Linked DNA regions of Oreochromis niloticus. The protein of the gene in region 1 purifies or fractionates together with the protein of each later gene. This does not show direct contact. Links are inferred from orthologs where the notes say so. Each region holds a gene or a part of one and is shown on either strand. Other genes may lie near its edges. The genes, in order: acbd6 and nmt1a.

What was found.
Region 2: the proteins of acbd6 (region 1) and nmt1a purify together in Homo sapiens (co-immunoprecipitation; 3 studies listed by BioGRID and IntAct, with this or other methods). This does not show direct contact. The link is inferred for Oreochromis niloticus from reciprocal best matches to the Homo sapiens genes ACBD6 and NMT1.

What each region holds. Positions count from the first base shown.
Region 1 is NC_031986.2:44,136,350-44,145,186, forward strand, and holds the start of acbd6 (acyl-CoA-binding domain-containing protein 6), read right to left. Parts: upstream 5,157-8,837; 5' UTR 4,947-5,156; coding exon 4,668-4,946; intron 4,467-4,667; coding exon 4,402-4,466; intron 3,848-4,401; coding exon 3,751-3,847; intron 1-3,750. Other genes in the region: xpr1a (xenotropic and polytropic retrovirus receptor 1a), read left to right, coding at 8,036-8,104. UniProt on the Homo sapiens protein: Binds long-chain acyl-coenzyme A molecules with a strong preference for unsaturated C18:1-CoA, lower affinity for unsaturated C20:4-CoA, and very weak affinity for saturated C16:0-CoA. Does not bind fatty acids. Plays a role in protein N-myristoylation.
Region 2 is NC_031969.2:27,688,785-27,697,621, reverse strand, and holds the start of nmt1a (glycylpeptide N-tetradecanoyltransferase 1), read right to left. Parts: upstream 5,007-8,837; 5' UTR 4,992-5,006; coding exon 4,792-4,991; intron 3,155-4,791; coding exon 3,049-3,154; intron 2,840-3,048; coding exon 2,695-2,839; intron 1,150-2,694; coding exon 1,031-1,149; intron 680-1,030; coding exon 588-679; intron 501-587; coding exon 384-500; intron 256-383; coding exon 85-255; intron 1-84. Other genes in the region: plcd3a (1-phosphatidylinositol 4,5-bisphosphate phosphodiesterase delta-3-A), read right to left, coding at 7,499-7,641, 7,733-7,882, 8,186-8,321.

The DNA.
Region 1 (8,837 bases):
CAGGATGGGATATGTGGTTGACAGTGATGCTATTTGGGAGACAGAAATGACGGTGGGGGTGGGGGTGGGGTGTGGGTGGGGGGGCAGCAAAGTGAATGGAAGACTGGGAGGGGGTTAATGGGAAAAAGAGCAAGTTGCACAGACTGCCTTTAAAAATGAATGTTTCAGTGTTCCTTTGCAGCCAAGCATAGCTGTGCATATGTGACTGTGTGCCCATCCCTCTGTTTAAAGAGTGCACCCTTTCTCATGTTCACATGTGCTCTTTGTATCACGAACACAGCAAACCATTCATCTCAAAGAAAGACACGATTTATGAAAATGACACCCCAGTTCCACGAGAGTCGTGATGCGAATCAATGATCTGCAAGTCTCAAACATATATTTTAGTCACAATCCAATACAGAAAACACTGAAATGCTTAAACCGAGACATTCGACTATTTTGTGTAAAATATGAGCTCGTTTTGAATCTGATGGCAGTGACATGTCTCAGAGTTGGAGGAGTAAAAGTGAGTAGTAGTTAAAAGAAAGAGCTGGAGGAAGATTTTGCAAAGTTAGGTTAACTTGCAACAGGTCAGCAGCATCACTGGGCATAAAAGAGCATCTTGGAGAGACACAAGTAAAGATGTGCATCAATTTGTACAAAACTGCATCTACGAAGAACAATTTCAGCGCGATGATCCTCAGCTTCAAATTGTGAAGACTTTAAATATTTTATCATCTACAGGACACAACATCCTTAAAAGGTTCTATGAGCCCGAAGAAATCTGTGATCTTCAGGTGCATGACTGTCATTAAAGTCACTGCAGGGCTCAGGAACAGTTACAGAAATAAAATGTTCACCATGTCATCCACAAACGCAGGTCAGAGCTCTATCATACGAAGAACATGTGAACATGATCCAGCCATCTTCTCCGGGCCAAAGGTCATTTAAAATTGTCTGAAACAAAGTGTAAAACTGTTTTGTGGTGAGATTAATCAAAACTTGCAATTATTTATGGAAAACATGAACACAGTGTCCTCTGGACTCAAGATGAGCAGGTCCAAAATCCTGCATCTGTGATTGTAACGAGCGCATTTGTGCCGCTGGAACATGATGGTTTCAGGATTTCAGTACTGATGGGTGCTTTGCACATCTGGAAAGGCTGAAAGGTGTGTATGTAGGTTTTATAGCAACACATGCTCCCATCCAGATGAGCTTCTTTCAGGGACGGCCGTGCATATTTCTGGAAGACGATGATGATCTAAGAAGAGTCCAGATGCTGAAGAGGCCTGCCTTTAGTCAAGATGTTTCCCAAACTGAAAACATTTGGAGCTTCATGAGATGAAGAATATGACAAAGACCCAGGACCGCTGAGCAGCTAGAATCTTATATCAGACAAGAGTGAGACAAAGTGCACCAGCTGAGCAGACGCCCTTCAGCCCGGGTTCAAGTAAAACCTGGGACCCTTTGCTGAGTGTCTTCCCCTGCTCGCTCTCCCCCTTTTTTCTAGTCTACTCTTCACTGCTGAACCGTTTAAAAAAAAAAAAAAAAAAAAAAAAGCCAAAAAACCAAACAAACAAACAGAATGAAAGAACGGGACGCCATCCTCTCCCTACAGTCCAGCAGCCGGTCTCCTCAGTTTGCAGATGTTTACACACTGTTGTTAACAGAAGAGGGGATTCTGCACTGTGGTAAACATGGATCTGTCCCAATTTATTTATTTTTTTAATATGTGCCGTCAAATTTTAAATAAGCTTTTTCTTAAAATGGTTCATTTTCTCGGTTTAAACATTTGACATGTTTTGTGTTTCATTGTGAACATTTGAGTTTTGGAATATAAAATATCATCAGCTTTGTCCTATTAAAGATTTGTGTTACATTTAGTCCTCGTTACTACACGAATTGTATATGAATGAAAATATGAATCGAGTCAAATGTGTTTTGAGAGGTCACAGTAACCTTGACCACTAAACTAATCACTTCAGTCCAAGTGGAGGTTTGTGCCAAACATGAAGAAAGCATTCCTGTGATATCAGGTTCCCAAACGGACAAAAGAAGGATGGAAGAACAGACGAGCCATAAACAGAATTCCTCGGGCCAAAGCTATTATCAGCAAAGGCAGCATAAGATACCCAATATCTAACAGTGACTTTAATAGATTATCGGAGAGTGTAAACACTAAACTGTGACACTGGTGCTCACTCACTGCTGCAACAAACTTTATCATTCCAAGTTTCAGATCATCTATAAAACAAAGTATAAAAATGAGTGTTTTATCAGTATGAAGAGCATACTCCATTACTGCAAACCATCCAAGGTTGGTGTTGAAACCTAATGTTGTCCCAAAGAACAACATGTTTAAGGCAACTCTCCTGACACAGACGAATAAGAGTGTAGAGATGTAAACAGTCACTATACAAATTACCACATCCCAACAGCCTTAATATTAACATTTCTTAAATAATTACTATTCCAAAATATCAGCCACTGAGCAAAACTGCACAAAGTGCTTATTTTTCTTTGTAATGTGCAGAAAATGAGCTGCAACACGGTTTCAACAAAATGACAATGTGACAGTGACACCTGCTGGTAAACACCCGGTACTTCACCTTAAGGGCACACCAATGACACGGATGGTTCTGTTGTATATCCGTCATCCTTTTTATCCTAATTTCAGACATCTTACCTTTAAAGGTTTGTTTTAGTTCATGCACATTTCCAGATTTTGTTATCAGGTATATAAAGTATTAGTCAGAAATAAATAACAACCAGGAAGAAACAGAATGACACTGTTGTTCCTTATGTGGTAAGTAACTCAGAATTTTCTCTACGCATAAACATCACAGTGCACTTCTGATCCAGCAACACCCTCAGACAAAAACTAGTTCACCCCCGAACACAAGCTCAACAGCGTAGTGTACCATGTGAGGAGTGCTCGGACCTTTACGTAAGAGAAACAAGACTCCACAGACGCATGGCACAACAAGAAAGTCACATCAGTCAAGACTCAGCTGTACACCTTCTCTTAAAGGGGAAAGGACACTCTTCAATGATGCCAATGTTCAGATTTTTCACAGATTATTTGAGAAAGGAGTACAGGAGCCCATCTATGTCCACTGTGAATGACCCCTGGTGACAATGACCCACGCCTTTTTTCAGGCCTGGGCTCATATGAAGACCCACAGGATCACTACCACCTCCAAGAGGACAGCCTCTTCTAGGGGTCAGATACCTGAAACTCTCAATCTCTTGTTTTAGAACAGCAGAAGCCTCTTGGATGGGAGGTGAAACATCTTCAAGAAGCAAAAGGTTTAGTTGCCTTCTTTTCAAACACTTCAGACGACCACATAACCAGAAAATGTATAAAGTGACGAGCACCAGAAACTCTTTCTACATATATTCAAAACCAAGACCATAAAAGTCATAAGGAGCATGATGAATGGCAATACTAACATTGACATTCAACAATTACCATTCTCTACAAAAGGATCGTCATCCATAAAATCAGATTATTACCACAAAGAAAACTGCTGCAGTAAAGGCTGAGCTGAAAGCAAATGAACTGTTATAAATGTATAATTAATGTTTTATAATCTATGTTATCATAAGATCCACTGCAATAAAAAGGTTAATTTGATCTCTTTATAAACTTACTGGTGACCCTCCACAACAGTCCCAGTTTCTCGTATGGCCCCTTAGGAACATTAACCCACCTCTGCTTCAGTTTGGAATCAAAATGAGGATTAAAAATAAATTCTCAGGAATTACCTTTGTGCTGCCTTCAGGGTCTAAGATGTTGACACAGGAAATATACTCTTGCATTGCTTGTTCCTGATCCATGTCTCCAAGCTGCTTCCAGGCTTGCCTGTTATGATATCACAATTACAAAAGTAATGACCGTTAAAGATTTTCACACCCCGTGAACTAAAACATGAAAATAGAACTATTAGATTCACTGACTTGCGTGGAACCATTTTAATACTTTGCAAGAGGACAGGTTGTTTGTGAATAGTGGTTTATTTTAAGTAGCAGAAACATTTTTCTTCATCAAGCATCTGAACATGGATCCCATCATGGGTGCTATCTGTTGCCCTCACAGACACACTTGAATTAGAATCTAAAATAGAAACACATTACTGGTTTCCCTTACAGCATATGGCTGCCCCTCCCTGAGCCTGGTTCTGCCAGACGTTTCTTCCTGTTTAAAAGGGAGTTTTTCCTTCCCACTGTTGCCAAGTGCTTGCTCGTAGGGAGTCGTCTGATTGTTGGAGTTTTCTTTTTATTATTGAAGGTTCTTTACCTTACAATGAGGCGTCTGCTGTTGTGATTTGGTGCCATTTAAGTAAAAGTGAACTGAATTGACTTACTTGACCTATAAGGCTTTAAAAATATGTGCAAAGTGAAATCTGGGCTACTTACCATTTTCTTTGTCCTTCAAAGTCAAAGAAACCAGGTTTTGGTGTATTGCACTTCCCCACTTTGACCTATAGATACAAAATCACATTACATATCTGATTTAATGTCACCTGCAGCTGTGAGCCTGACTCGATTAAATACCAGAGGAGTCACATAAATGCTGAGATTCATGGCATGTGGGGGTGTCCCGTCTAAAGCTGCGTGGTGCAACTACTTGAAGGCTCGAGTGTGGCCGACACACACACAGTGACATTTAACCGTACAATCACCTGTTTGTAGCGAGCGTACAGGTACAGCAGCTGGTCCCTGCTGGCCGTCTGTATCAAGTCTTTTACGCGGTCGGCGGCAGACTCGAACTCGCGCTCCAGCTCTTCTCCCTCCAGCCGGTCCCCCACCTCCATGGCGCTGCAGTCAAATTTACTCAAACCCAAGTCCGAATCCGAGTCCGAGCCTGCTCCACCGAGGGGCTCTCCTGTGTCGGGCCGGGCTGGATCCGTACCTGAGCCCGTCGCGGTGTCCGGAGAGGACGACGGCGAACCAGAAGCCATTGTTATTATTGTTTATAGCGTCTCAAACGACGGGAGCCGCGGATCTCCGTGAGAAACGCTGAGAAGCGCACGGAGAGCAGCTGCCTGTTATTTATATTATGTCTGCAAAGTGTTTCAGCAAAGACTTGGATTTTAATCCGTTATCGTAGCAAATCCGTGACAGTCGGATCTGTTTCTGCCGTAGGTCCGTGTCTGGTACTGTCAATTTAAAAGCGCCGGTAAAAAATCGCTGTTAGTAAGAAAGGTTCCGACTCCGGTACAAGTAAACACGCGAACACGCGCTTTTCTGTATATTTGTTATGAATGATTAAACAAAAACTAAATATTTTCTAAATGAAAATAAAGTATTTAAGTTAGCCAGATAATATATATTATTATTTGACCTACGATAACGTGACATAGCAACCTACACAGCAACCAGGAAAAACTCGAGCGCTAAAGTAGCTTGCGGTGGGTTTGTTGATACTTTGGGTGGAAAAATGTTTATTGAAATCTCCTCAAATAATAATAATTTAAAAAACTACGTAAAGTACTGTATTTCGAGACAGCCATTAACCCATTTCTTTATATTTTGCTGGAAAATTGGAATTGGGTACAGCAACTGATTAAAGAAATCTGCGAAGATAAATCAAAATAAAGCTTATAAGGCAAAATCAAAGTCTGTTCCATTCTAATGACTTTGAAAGTCAATATTTGTTTTGAACACAGTTATTCCTCATAGCCCGAAATCCCTGTAGTAAGCTTTCTCGTCATTTCTGTAAGTACTCTTCAGCAATAGTTCTCCCGGCTTTGGAGGACATTCAAAGCTCTTCTTTGGATGTTGGCTGCCTGTTGTTCTGTTCTCTGTCGCGCTAAGGCAAGGTGGATCAAAATGGGATGGTACTTTTTTGTTTTCGCAGTTTCATTTGACAAGAGTCGAGTCTATTTCCTAGTTCTTAAGTAATAATAAGGCACACCTCAGCCTTTCCTCGGTGTCTTTTTGGCAGCCGCTATTATACAGAGATCATTTCTAATGGTCCTTCAGCTGCAGGGCCAAATGCTTCTATCAGGTCCCGTGTCAGGTCTTTCCTGGACTTTTTTCCCTTCTTGCCACTTATTGTCCTATATTTGTCCGGGTTTTCTCCGTTTTCCTCCGTTTTTTCTTCCTCCTTACAAAACAAAACAAAACAAAACAAAACAAAACAAAACAAACATGCTGCTCACCATGCTGAGATATGCAACGTTTTTAGGAATCACCTTGTTGGTACCTAGTCGAGATATCCGTCAAACTGTGTTAGCTTCGACATTTTTCACAAAATAGAACAAATTGTGTTTTTGTGACAGACTGTTAGTAACACAGTGCCTAAAAATGAGGGTCTGGAAACTTGGAAGAAAAATGTAGGGAATGAACAATCCGTCCATTCTTTATCCATTCTCGAGACTTTTGCGCAGTACTGTATATTCATCACAGACATTTCCTGGTAGAACATTTTTGTGTGTGAAGTCTGCATGCGATGGGTTCTATTTTATAGGGACTCTTATTATCCTAACATTAGGATAACTACAGACAAGAAGGTAATAGCCTAATTTTAAGACTCAAGACTCAAGAAGTTTATCGTCATTTGGGATGGTGTCACCCAGCCTGAAACGAAATACTGTTTCTCAACAGCCTCTCCAGTGCAATAAGCAATACAGTTCAAAAATAATAAATACAGTTTAAAAAGAATAATTTTTAAAAAGAGCAGTAATGAATTGCAACAATAGTTATGGATAAATAAATAGCATAAAATCAAAGTTCTAAAGCAAACTCCGGTCACATTCGTTCGGGTACAAAAATCCTTAAAGGGCCTCAATTTAAAACTTTTTAACGACGTTTTTCTGTCCACCAGATTTTTTTTAAATAAATGTTTAAATTCTACTTGGATTCTACTGCAGCACATATTAATCAACCTGAATGTTTGCGACACCTGCCACAGCACTCTTTGTGACAACAATGTATTAGCACATCGTGTCCAGCAGATGGTGCTATTAACACAAAGATGTTTTATTTTTGCGTCTGGCACTTTTTATCCCAAGTACATGATCTCGCTCACCACGTTCACCCGGACGAAAATGGATTCAGCTGAGAAATAATCGAGTAGCCTGAGCTTAAATCGATGACGTTTTTATTAAATTAAACGTTTTTTTTCTCTTTGAGTAAAAGCTCAACTTCCAAATTATTTCTGCTTCGTATCTTTCTGTTTCTGTTCTACTTCATATGCGGTAAACACGGGGAACTTCCCAGTATATTAACAGTATTAATGAATATCGTTTTACGAAGCTAGTGGTAGCCTGTTATCGTGTTCTTGTAAACCTGTTTTTAGACCGAAAGCTACAAGCAGCTTACATTAAGCATCAGTGCGTATAATTTGTTGTCTACGTGACTTTCTGCCATATTGTCTACTTTTTCTTCACACGACAGAGAGATAAGCCTCACAGACACGTATTAGTTAAAGAAATAACTGTATATTTTTTAAACGAGTTATTACTGTTGGTTGATCAGTTTAAATATATATTTAACTTTGTTCCTTCTTCTTTTTGTAGACACGCACAGCTGACAGCTGGCTTTCTAACTACTGTACAAAACCCCAAAGGAAACAAAGTGAAGCGAAGACGGTGAGGGGGTCCTAGGGTGCACCACTAACAGTTTTCACGAGGTCCCAACAGTGTCCGAGTTACACTGCGCGCTCTGCTGACGCAACCACGTCACAGTGGTTCATAGCGATGGCGGACCGCAGTGTCCCCAGACTTGCCCAGGGAGGGACCGAGCAAAGTCACTGAGCCACTTTCACCGGCTCCAGTAACCTGTCGCCCGACCACCTGTTAAACGGAGGCCACTGTTGTTGTTCTCGTTGTCCCTCCCATGAAATAGTATGTGGGACGGGATCTGCTGGGAGTGCGCAGACCGGGACGAGCCAGAAGTGGAGTGAGCAGGAGCGCAGTGTGCCGGGCTGACGCGCCGCATGTTGAGCCAGCAAGTTGACTGATATAATAAAAGTCGCGTCGACGGGGAAGGGGACAGCCGCGCTCGGATTTAACAGAGCTTTGAGGGGGACACTTGTTCCGGCAAAATGAAATTCGCGGAGCATCTTTCGTCCCATATCACTCCAGAGTGGAGGAAACAGTATCTTCAGTATGAGGTACAGCAGAATTTATGTTTATTTAAAATGAATTTGAGGTGGAAACGGACGTTGACCAAAACGGAGCTGCTTTCATAGTGCATAAGGAAACTGGAAGAAAAGAGTCGCGATTAACTAAGGGAAAAATGTAAAGTGTTTTAAGTTTGATTTATTTTTCCCAGTTTCAGTAAAGCCTGCTCCTGAGGGCAATAAACGACGGGAAAGATAAGGGATGCCTATTGTTTATGGAGGGGAAATTGACTGCGGTTGTTAAGAGCCATGGGGAGCATTCAGCGTTTGTTATTGCTGTTTGTTGATTTTAACACATATGAAAATTAACATAAATAACTGTTTGATTAAAAAAACAACAACAACAAAAAAACACGTTTTTTCATACTGTGAAAAATAAGTAAAATTATTATTTTTTTCTTTATTTCAACAAATTTAAATAAAAATATTATGGAGAGCTTTATACAAAACTAAAAATTGAAGATTGTCTTTGTGTTTATTTTTCACATTTCTTTGCAAAACAACTCAATTTTCAACATTTCTTTTTGTTTTGTCACATTTTTTATCATCATGTTAACTGATGGTGCATTGTTAAAAAATAATAATAAAAGACGCTCTTTGTCCAATGACACCCCCCCCCCCTCCCCCAAAAATCACCTCCTTAAATTATTAACATTTATTTTCATTACTCTAACTAAAGACAAAGGTAATATCTCTTCCACCAACTGAGTACAATTTGTTGCAA
Region 2 (8,837 bases), on another chromosome or scaffold:
CAATTGATGCAGTGAATGAAATCTAACCCTCCACCACGGTGGGGGGGACGTAACAGGGTTAGAAAATTTCCCTGTCACACCCACCTGCATGTGCCCACAGGTTTGGGCAGTACCACTCCAGCGGTATACACCGCCTGAAAGATTCCCTGCAGGTTGACCCGTCTGGTAATCTCTCTGATCAGTACTGGAGCAACTCGTTTGGAGCGAAGCTTCTTGTGGACGCAGAGGAAATTAATCTCAACCATTTTCTTCTCTCTAAAGCAGAAAAAAAGCAATCATGAGACATTTATTTATTTGAATAACACACTGAATACAATCTATTAGAAATAGTAGTCATAGGCCAGTAGGCCCCCCCCTCTGTCTGCACTATTCTGTTCACTTACATGTCATAGATGTGAATGGTGGCAGGAATGGCACTGATAAAGCCGACCAGCTTCTGGTTGGAGTTAACCCTCACTCCACAGTGCCACTGAGGCAACCAGCCAGGAGGTCGCAGGGCCCTGAGGAGGACAAGGTCAGTCAAAAATGCCACACATTTCTTTGCACCTGAATTAATATTTGAACAATATTTAAATATGAGAAATTACCAGAGCAGGAACTCAGGAGAATAGTCAAATCGGAACATGTTATCATCATCTTCAACATAGTTCTCGTTGAGAAGGGTGTAAAGCTCCTTGAGCTGGTTGTAGAGAGAAGAAAAAGATACGAGACAAAGTCATCTTAAAAAGTCAAGAGCACCAAATTTAAAAACAAAACAAAAACAACAACAACAACAAAAACACATTTCTACAGTGAACATTTGACAAAAGGACAAAAATCGGACTGCAGCTATACTCTGACCAAACAACAAGCACTTCATCATAAACAGTCACATAATTACTGAGAGGAAAAACTTGGAATAAAAACAAAAATCCACTAGTTTCTTAGCAAAATGAAGTGCAAAGCACCACGAGTCCAGGACTTGTTACTGAAAGATGAATTCCTCCTGTGCATGCTTGCTGTGAGTGTTTGTGTTTATACGCTTTCTTACCACAGCGGGGTTCCCCAGGTCGAGGGTGTCCCAGCTGAAGCCCTGCGGGAGGCTGTAGGGCTCTTCTCGAATGTTGTCTTTGTCAGGTTCAATGGAGCCGTGTGATGTCACCGTCTCCCCTGAAGGAAAAGCAAACAGAAGTCTGACAAAGCACAAAAACCTGCAAAACATATACACTTGTCTTTCAGACCGTCACTCTTAGAAGACCAGAAAGCAATGGTACATATCCACTGGCCACTTCATTAGGTACACATTTCCAACATTTATGCAAATCTCTCATCAGCCCTTTACCTGACAGAAACTCTGTGCATGTAGGCAGGTAGACATTGATAAGATGACCTGCTGAATTTCAAACCAAGCAGCAAAATGGGGAGGAAAGCTAATTTAGGTGACTATGACTGTAGTACGGTTGTTGGTGCTGGATGGATTGGTCTGAATATTTCAGAAACTGCTGATCTACTACTGATTTTCCCCACAACCATCTCTAGGACTTAAAGAGAATGGCCAGAAAATTAGAAAATATCCAGTGAGTGGTAGTTATTTGGGACAAAATGCTTTGATGATGTCAAAGGAGCATAGAGCCAGGCTGCTTTGAGCTGACAGAAAAGCACCAGGACCTCAGTTAACTACTTTTTACAACAAAAGTATGCAGCAGAGCATTTCTGAATACACAACAGTCAAACCTTGAAGCAGACTACAGTGGGTGCCACTCTTGTCAGCTACGAACAGAAGACTGTGGCTAAAATTCAGCTTACCAAAACTGTAGAACAGAAGACATTAGAAATTTTGCCTGGTTTGATGAGTCCTAGTTTCTGCTGTGACATTCGGATGGTAGGGTCAGAGTTTGGCATAGATTTATGTTGCCAAAAGCTCAGGACACTGGCAGTGAAGCAACAGTGTGGGGAAAGCTTTCTTGGCCAGATTGGTCCCCTCAGAATAAAACAACATTTAAACTCCACAGCCTTCCTGAGTACTGTTGCTGACAATTTAATTCCCTTTATGCCCACAATGTACCAATCTTCTGATGGCTGCTTCCAGTAGGCTACCATGTCATATAATAAAGGTCAAGTAATCGCAAACTGGATACTTGAACATGAAATGAGGTCAGTGTACTCAAATGGCCTCCCAATTCACCAGACTGCAAACAAAAAGAGCACATCTGTGGTGTATTGAAATGGGAGAAATGCATGTGCAGCTGACAGTTCTACAGCAACCGTGTGATGTCATCATGTCAATATGGCCGAAAATTTCTGAGGAATGTTTCCAGCACATTTCAAGTCTACGCCATTAGGAATCATGGCAGTTCTGAAGGTAAAATAGGGTCCAATTCAGTACTACCATGGTGTACCTAACAAAGTGGCTGATGAGTATGTTGCATCCTCTTAACCATGCCCAATTACTGATTCCTTTCACAATTATAGACACATTTCATCAACAGATTGCAAAATAATGCTTTTGTACTGAGCTTTTGCATACTTGAGTCATAAGTACAAGCCTTTTTTCCTTCTGTTCACTCTGTGTTAACTGACCATCTGTGTAAGCCCACTTGCAGAAAAACCCCCAAAACAACAACAACAAAAACATTATTTTATCAATCCCTAAAGATTTGACCTATAAGCTACATATTGGCATGAAAAACAGAACTACGCCATCTGTAACCATACCTAGTTTGGGCACAGGCTGTGTGTCCCAGAACTGGTAACTCCTCCGAGTGGCCTCCTCCATGGTTTTGGCTGGACCTTGGCCAACAGAGAACAGTTCAATGGCCTTTTGGATCTCCTGTAGCTTATCAGCTGGCAACGAATTCACCTGTTTGGGAAGTAAACAGGAATATACATCAAACAAGACCACAGCAAACAGAAGTCAACACTGTTGATCCTATCTAAACAGTCCAAACAGTCTTTACCATTCTGTATCTAAACTGTGATTTTAGTAGATTACACCTTAACTGGACTGTTTTTCCTTTCTTTTTAGGTTAGGTTTATAACCCGTTAAGACAGAAATGCATAAGTTCATGCCTTGGCAAGGGGGTCCTGAGCTGCTTCTGTGGCACCAGATTTCTTCTTCTTTTTCTGCTTCTTTTTCTTCTTCTTGGCGCCAGTGTCGTCCCCAAGACCCCTCTCACTGGAACAGGACAGAAATATATGGCATCCTTTTTAAGACTGATCTCAGAAGAAAAGAAAATCATGTTGGAAATTTATTTTTTGCAATCTGCTTTTAAACAACAGCCAAGATTATTAAACCACCGACAATTCCAACACAATTTACTTTTCATTGCTGATGCAAAGCCTTGTTAGCTGAGGAGTAGCTGTGTGTTTAAACTAACAACAAGAAGTGTAGCTGTAGGGCAGCTAAAGACACAATAAAACCAGTCCTTCAGCTAAAACATACAGAAATTTACAACTCGTTTGCAGCAGTGCAGATTTTCAGAATAACCCTCTTCTGATCTGCTCCAACCAGAAAAGCCACATATCTCCAGCATGCTACTTCATCTTCTGGCAACATACTTACACAAGATAATCTCATTAGTGTCCAAGAGGGGAGAAATGCAGGCCAGTACGTGGCCTGTATTTGTAACACCAGCACAGATGGTGAATCAGATGACATCTAGAAGAAGAGTATCTGTGCGTGTGTGTTTATGTACTGTATGTACAAGAGCCCAGCAAGTGACTGGAACAATGGACAACAAAACATTCAATGGTTTGTTCTCCCACTTTCCATTTCAACAGGGTAGAGCAGTTAAGGGGCCAAACAATTGTTTCTGAGTGCAGGAAGGTTCAAAGACCTGCAGGGGGAATATGTTTAGCCATACAGCAAAGTGGGTTTGAGGTAGAATTCTGCAACATTAGGTTTATTCTTTTCTCAGACTTTATCATTATTCCCTTCTTTGTGTCTTTAAAAACGTAAACGTGTGGCTGTCGGGTCAGATTTCCTCCAGTTAGTGATCAGATTTTGCGAAAACCACCTTACAGAGGCGCATTCTTGTTCTGCTAAAAACAAAGCTCGGCTGCTTTGCCCTTTCATATATGACACAACTTTTTTTTTAAAGATACATTAAGAGAAAAACAGGGTTTTTATCAAAGCTTGTATTCAATAAGAGCAACCGAGCTGGGCTGCTTTAAGATCGCGAACATTTATGTGATTAAAAAGGAAATTCAAAGCCCTCACTTCACAACGCCGAGACCCAAGTATATTATTTTTAAGCTGCGTGCTTTTTGCATGCACGTTTGTGCTTGTTTCACTTTTGATCTTGCGCCGAATCCACACACACACACACACACACACACAGACAATGCCAGGTACGCTAGCATGCAAGCTAACACGCTACATGTCAGCTGGCGTAAACGTGATTTGCATCATTTACCCTTAACATAGCAACGGCATGCGAAGAACACCATAAAAAAATCAACTTAATTAAAAGTTTATTTTTTCTGAAAGGTTTGTGAGTAACGAAAACACAAGTCTTGGTGTAAAATTGGCTTCTAAACGCACTTTACCTTCTCCTTTCTAACCATATACTTAGGAAAACGCTAAGTCCAGCCTATATTTGGAAAAGACATCCTTCTCAGCCAATCGGATGAAAGAACAAGCAAGCGAACGTTGCTACTAACCAATAGGATGAAAGAAAATGGGCTGGACGACGTCTAAGGATGGCCGTCTATCCCGACTGCTCGCCGAGGTTCAGTTTAAGTTAATTTTGTTAAAATCTACAGAGCCGCGACGTATTTTACGCCACCGACCGAGTAAGCCTGCCTCCTTACCCATCGTCAAAGTGGTGCTCTTCATTTTCACAGTCGCTGCAGTGTCCGTGATCCTCTACATCTTCTTTCTCCGGCATCGGTGCTGTCTCATTCTCATCCGCCATCTTCAACCAGGAAGTGAGACGCCACCGCGTGCCCCTTGACACCTTTAAAACAGCCTCGACGCTATTGGCTGAGACACGCAGTGGAGGCGTAGCCATGGTCGTCCTGTTTTTTACCCGACCATTTCCAAATATTTACGATAAACAAATGGCTCGTAATGGAGCGGGCACGGCTTATCGTTTTAAAGCGTCCATTTTTAAGTTTTCACAGCCACAGTAAAAATATATTTTTTGTGTATTTAATATATTTTTCCCTCTAAAGACAAACAGCCATGTGACGTGCATACAACCCAAAGGCAAATGAAAGCGCTTAAGTGGAAACACGTGTGTGATAGTGCAGCTTGAAAGAAAATCTGAGGCCTAATAAATTAATATTACAACAGGGTGAGTAAGAAGGTAAAGTCATGCTCAGACTTAGGAATTGAATGAGACCAACTGAGCAGATTAAGCATTGTGGCGTTGATATTTCTTATTTGAAAGCCAGTTAAAAGGCACTAACAGGTAAAAAATGTACATTAGCTGTTCATTTACGTAGTCTGCGTAATGATTAGCGCCTCCAAAGCAGCCAAAACCTTTTAGGTCCACATCTTATTTATTTTCATAATAATGGGGGCATTAAAGAACCCAGTTTTTGCATGAAGTAAGCTAACGGGACATTCTTCCATTCACGTTTTGCATGAATATATTACAAGTAGTGACACGGTGTTTAATAATGATTACTACAGAAATGGAGCTACAGCTACAGCACCAACACTTGGACAAAATACCCATAGAGCTGCAACATGCACAGTATAAGAAATCATGGCAGTCACATGAGACGATAACATGTGACTGCCAAATAATTTGCTAATAATTATTTCAGAGAGCCGTGTGTGATTACTTTTTATTAGCAAGTCAACATTTTGACCTAGATATCAACAGGGACTATATTACTATATTTGAGGTGTATTTTTGAACCATTTTTGCTGATGTTAAAAACATGTCTGTCATGATTTTAGCGTCAACTTAAGACTTTTTACCAACGTTTTTCTTGAGGGAAAAAACTAATACTGACTTCCTCCCTTTTCTGTTGTTGTGGTGTTGCTGAGTGTCATTCACAACACACTGTGTGTGTTTTTGTATTTAATTAAGTTTACCACAAAATATTCAGTGGGTGGATTAGCTCATAATTCATAGAGATGCTTGGAGACAAAAAGAAGTCCAGTTGTTGGAGAAATTGCTGCCATGCTGTATAATGTGAAATGTCATAAATATTGCTAAGAGTTTCCCTTTTTTGTCTTTACTTTTGGCCTAATCAGGCAGGGACATATCTATTGATAGTTCTAATGTTGGAATGTAAAGATTTATTATGTTTTAGGCTGACAGTTTTAGATTATCACAGAAAAGTCAGACAAAAATTCACAGTACAACCTTCTGGTTATGCATTTATTAAAGTGTCAGGTATCCACAGACAACACTGTGGACTTTTGAAACTAAAAAAGACACTTGTATCTTTTGACAGCATGTGAAAAAAAAATGTTAGAAGTGCTTTATAAAAACATTTTTCTTGCAAACATAACCACTCAAACGCATCCCACAGCTTCTATATTAAACATTAAGAGAGCAAAGTTTTACTTCACTCACTATTAAACACATATTACATTCTCCTCAAAACCAGCGTGACCATTAAAAATGTAATTACAGTAATTACTTTTCATCGCTGGACCATTTTATTATCAGTGAACCTCCTTATAAGAGTATTAAAAGATTCACTGTAGCCTGGAGTAATTAGTGGTTGTATTAGATTGATGCAATTAGTTTTTAACCAGCATTTTTTCTAGATCTGAATACAAGGACAAAAATTGACAAAATGAAAGAAGCTTATATGGAAATACTGTATCGTTAAAATTCAAATATGATTTTAAAAAAGCACATTTGAACGTATCTGAAATGATGCTAAGATAAAATACAAGACATTTAAGAAAAAAGCTTATCTTTGCAAGTTAAGCTTGTCATGTTCTACTGGAAGATGTGAGAACATGTTAACATTTGTCTTCCAGAGAGAATTTAAAAGTGCCCAGATATCTGGAGTATCGAGTACTTGTACATAGCCAACATGGGCCACGGGGCCCTGGCGCACTCACTAACACAAAATTAAATCTGTATTACATCACAGTTAATGCTGCCAATAATAACATCTAAAACACTGACATTTATGGATATTGTCAAACACAGTTACTTACGCTTGGTTTCCATCTCATTGCAATTCTTTTATAGCATCAGTTTAAGAAGTGCTATTTTACTTCAGCGATCATTATTCTTCAAGTTTAAAAAAAAACACGTTAAAAAATAAAATGGTGACATAAAATAAATGATTTTCATTCTCTCTAACAGTCCCTTTTCTGTGTTTTTTAATGAATTACAGTCACCAGAGGGCATGTCTCCATTTCTGACAGACACCTTTCTTTAAGCACTGGGAAGTGGTTTTGTGTAAATTGGACCACTTGGGGTCTGAACTGTAAGACAACAGCAACAGCAGCATTCTGTCTCTGTCTGTTTACACTCGGAGCTCCTCCTTCCAAGGTCCTTCATTGTCCAGATGTCTGATTGTCTTGTTCAGATGTGTGTCACGCTTTGCCTTTGGCAGCGGCAATACGCTCAGCCATAGTTTTGACAGGAACACCTCTGCGAGTCACTTTGACATGGATAAAGAGTGTAGCAGGAGAAAGGCTGGAACCATCTGCCTTCAGTAAGTGAATATGTCGATAACCTGGGTGGGGAGTATGACACATATTAAAAAGAACAGCCGAGAGTGAAGAACTGATACATGACTGACTTGTAGACTAAATCTTAATAAGCACCTATGCGAAAGCTTGTAAAAGGTAAAGTGAACTGCCCCACGAAGTCATTTTTGGTAGCATGATCGTGGTCCTCCACTACAAACCGCACCAGGGCCAGCTCAGGGACCTGCAGCTGGAAGCTCAGAGTACAGTCCCAGCGAGGGTTGAAACCTGCAGAGGGCGCACAAGAGCTGTAAATACACCATCTGGTGCATTAAACCTTTCAAACAAACTAATCATGGCATTGGATTGAAAAGACTCCTACACAAATATATATTCCAAGATTTGAATAAGGTACAAAGAAGCTTTCGGACATCATCTCTTGTCTCCTGTCGCTGCATTATAAAAGTAACACTAATTTACAGAAATTTAAATATTCATAGATAACGAAGATATTATCAATCTGCAAAGAAAAAAAATCAAATAAATTTCTTAAAAAATTTTTGTTGTTGTGGATAAAAAAATAAAACTTACCATTGTTGTCAATGCGGTGGGTTTTTTGTTTTGCTTTATCAATAGCCACCCCATGAATTTCCACCCACACTAGTGGATCCACAATGGAGCTCGCCTTCTCTGTGTTGATTTTTGGCAGCTGTTGTGCAGATATTATCTGAAAAAGCAAAACATAATTCATCATTGTGTGCATGAAATTATCATTAGAAATGTATAAAAAAAAGTCTATTGGAGGCAACTTTTTTGCAAAATCCGAAATTGCAAATTGCGCTAACAGGGCTCGACTGGATAGCACACAATAGCTCTATGTTTAGACTCTAGTTTAGACATAAGGGAACTCTTCCAGAGGAACAACAGAGGATGGCCTCTCTATGATAAAAATGTAAGTATGGACAGTAATAACAAGAACTAAATGACACTACGAAAAATAAACTTGCCACAAAAAGGAAGGAAACTTCCTTTTTCTTCTAACAATGCTTCTTAGCAATAAATTGTATACCGTTGGAAAGCTTCTTTATTTGTCTATAAAAAAAACAACACATACCAGGGGCCTCACAACAGCCTAGTACCTCCTCCTCATGTTGGTGACCAGCTTGGTCGCACACTGCTGTGGGATGGGATGACATTTTTCAACCAGCATTTACTGCTGTTAAACTACCAGTATGTCTTGTTT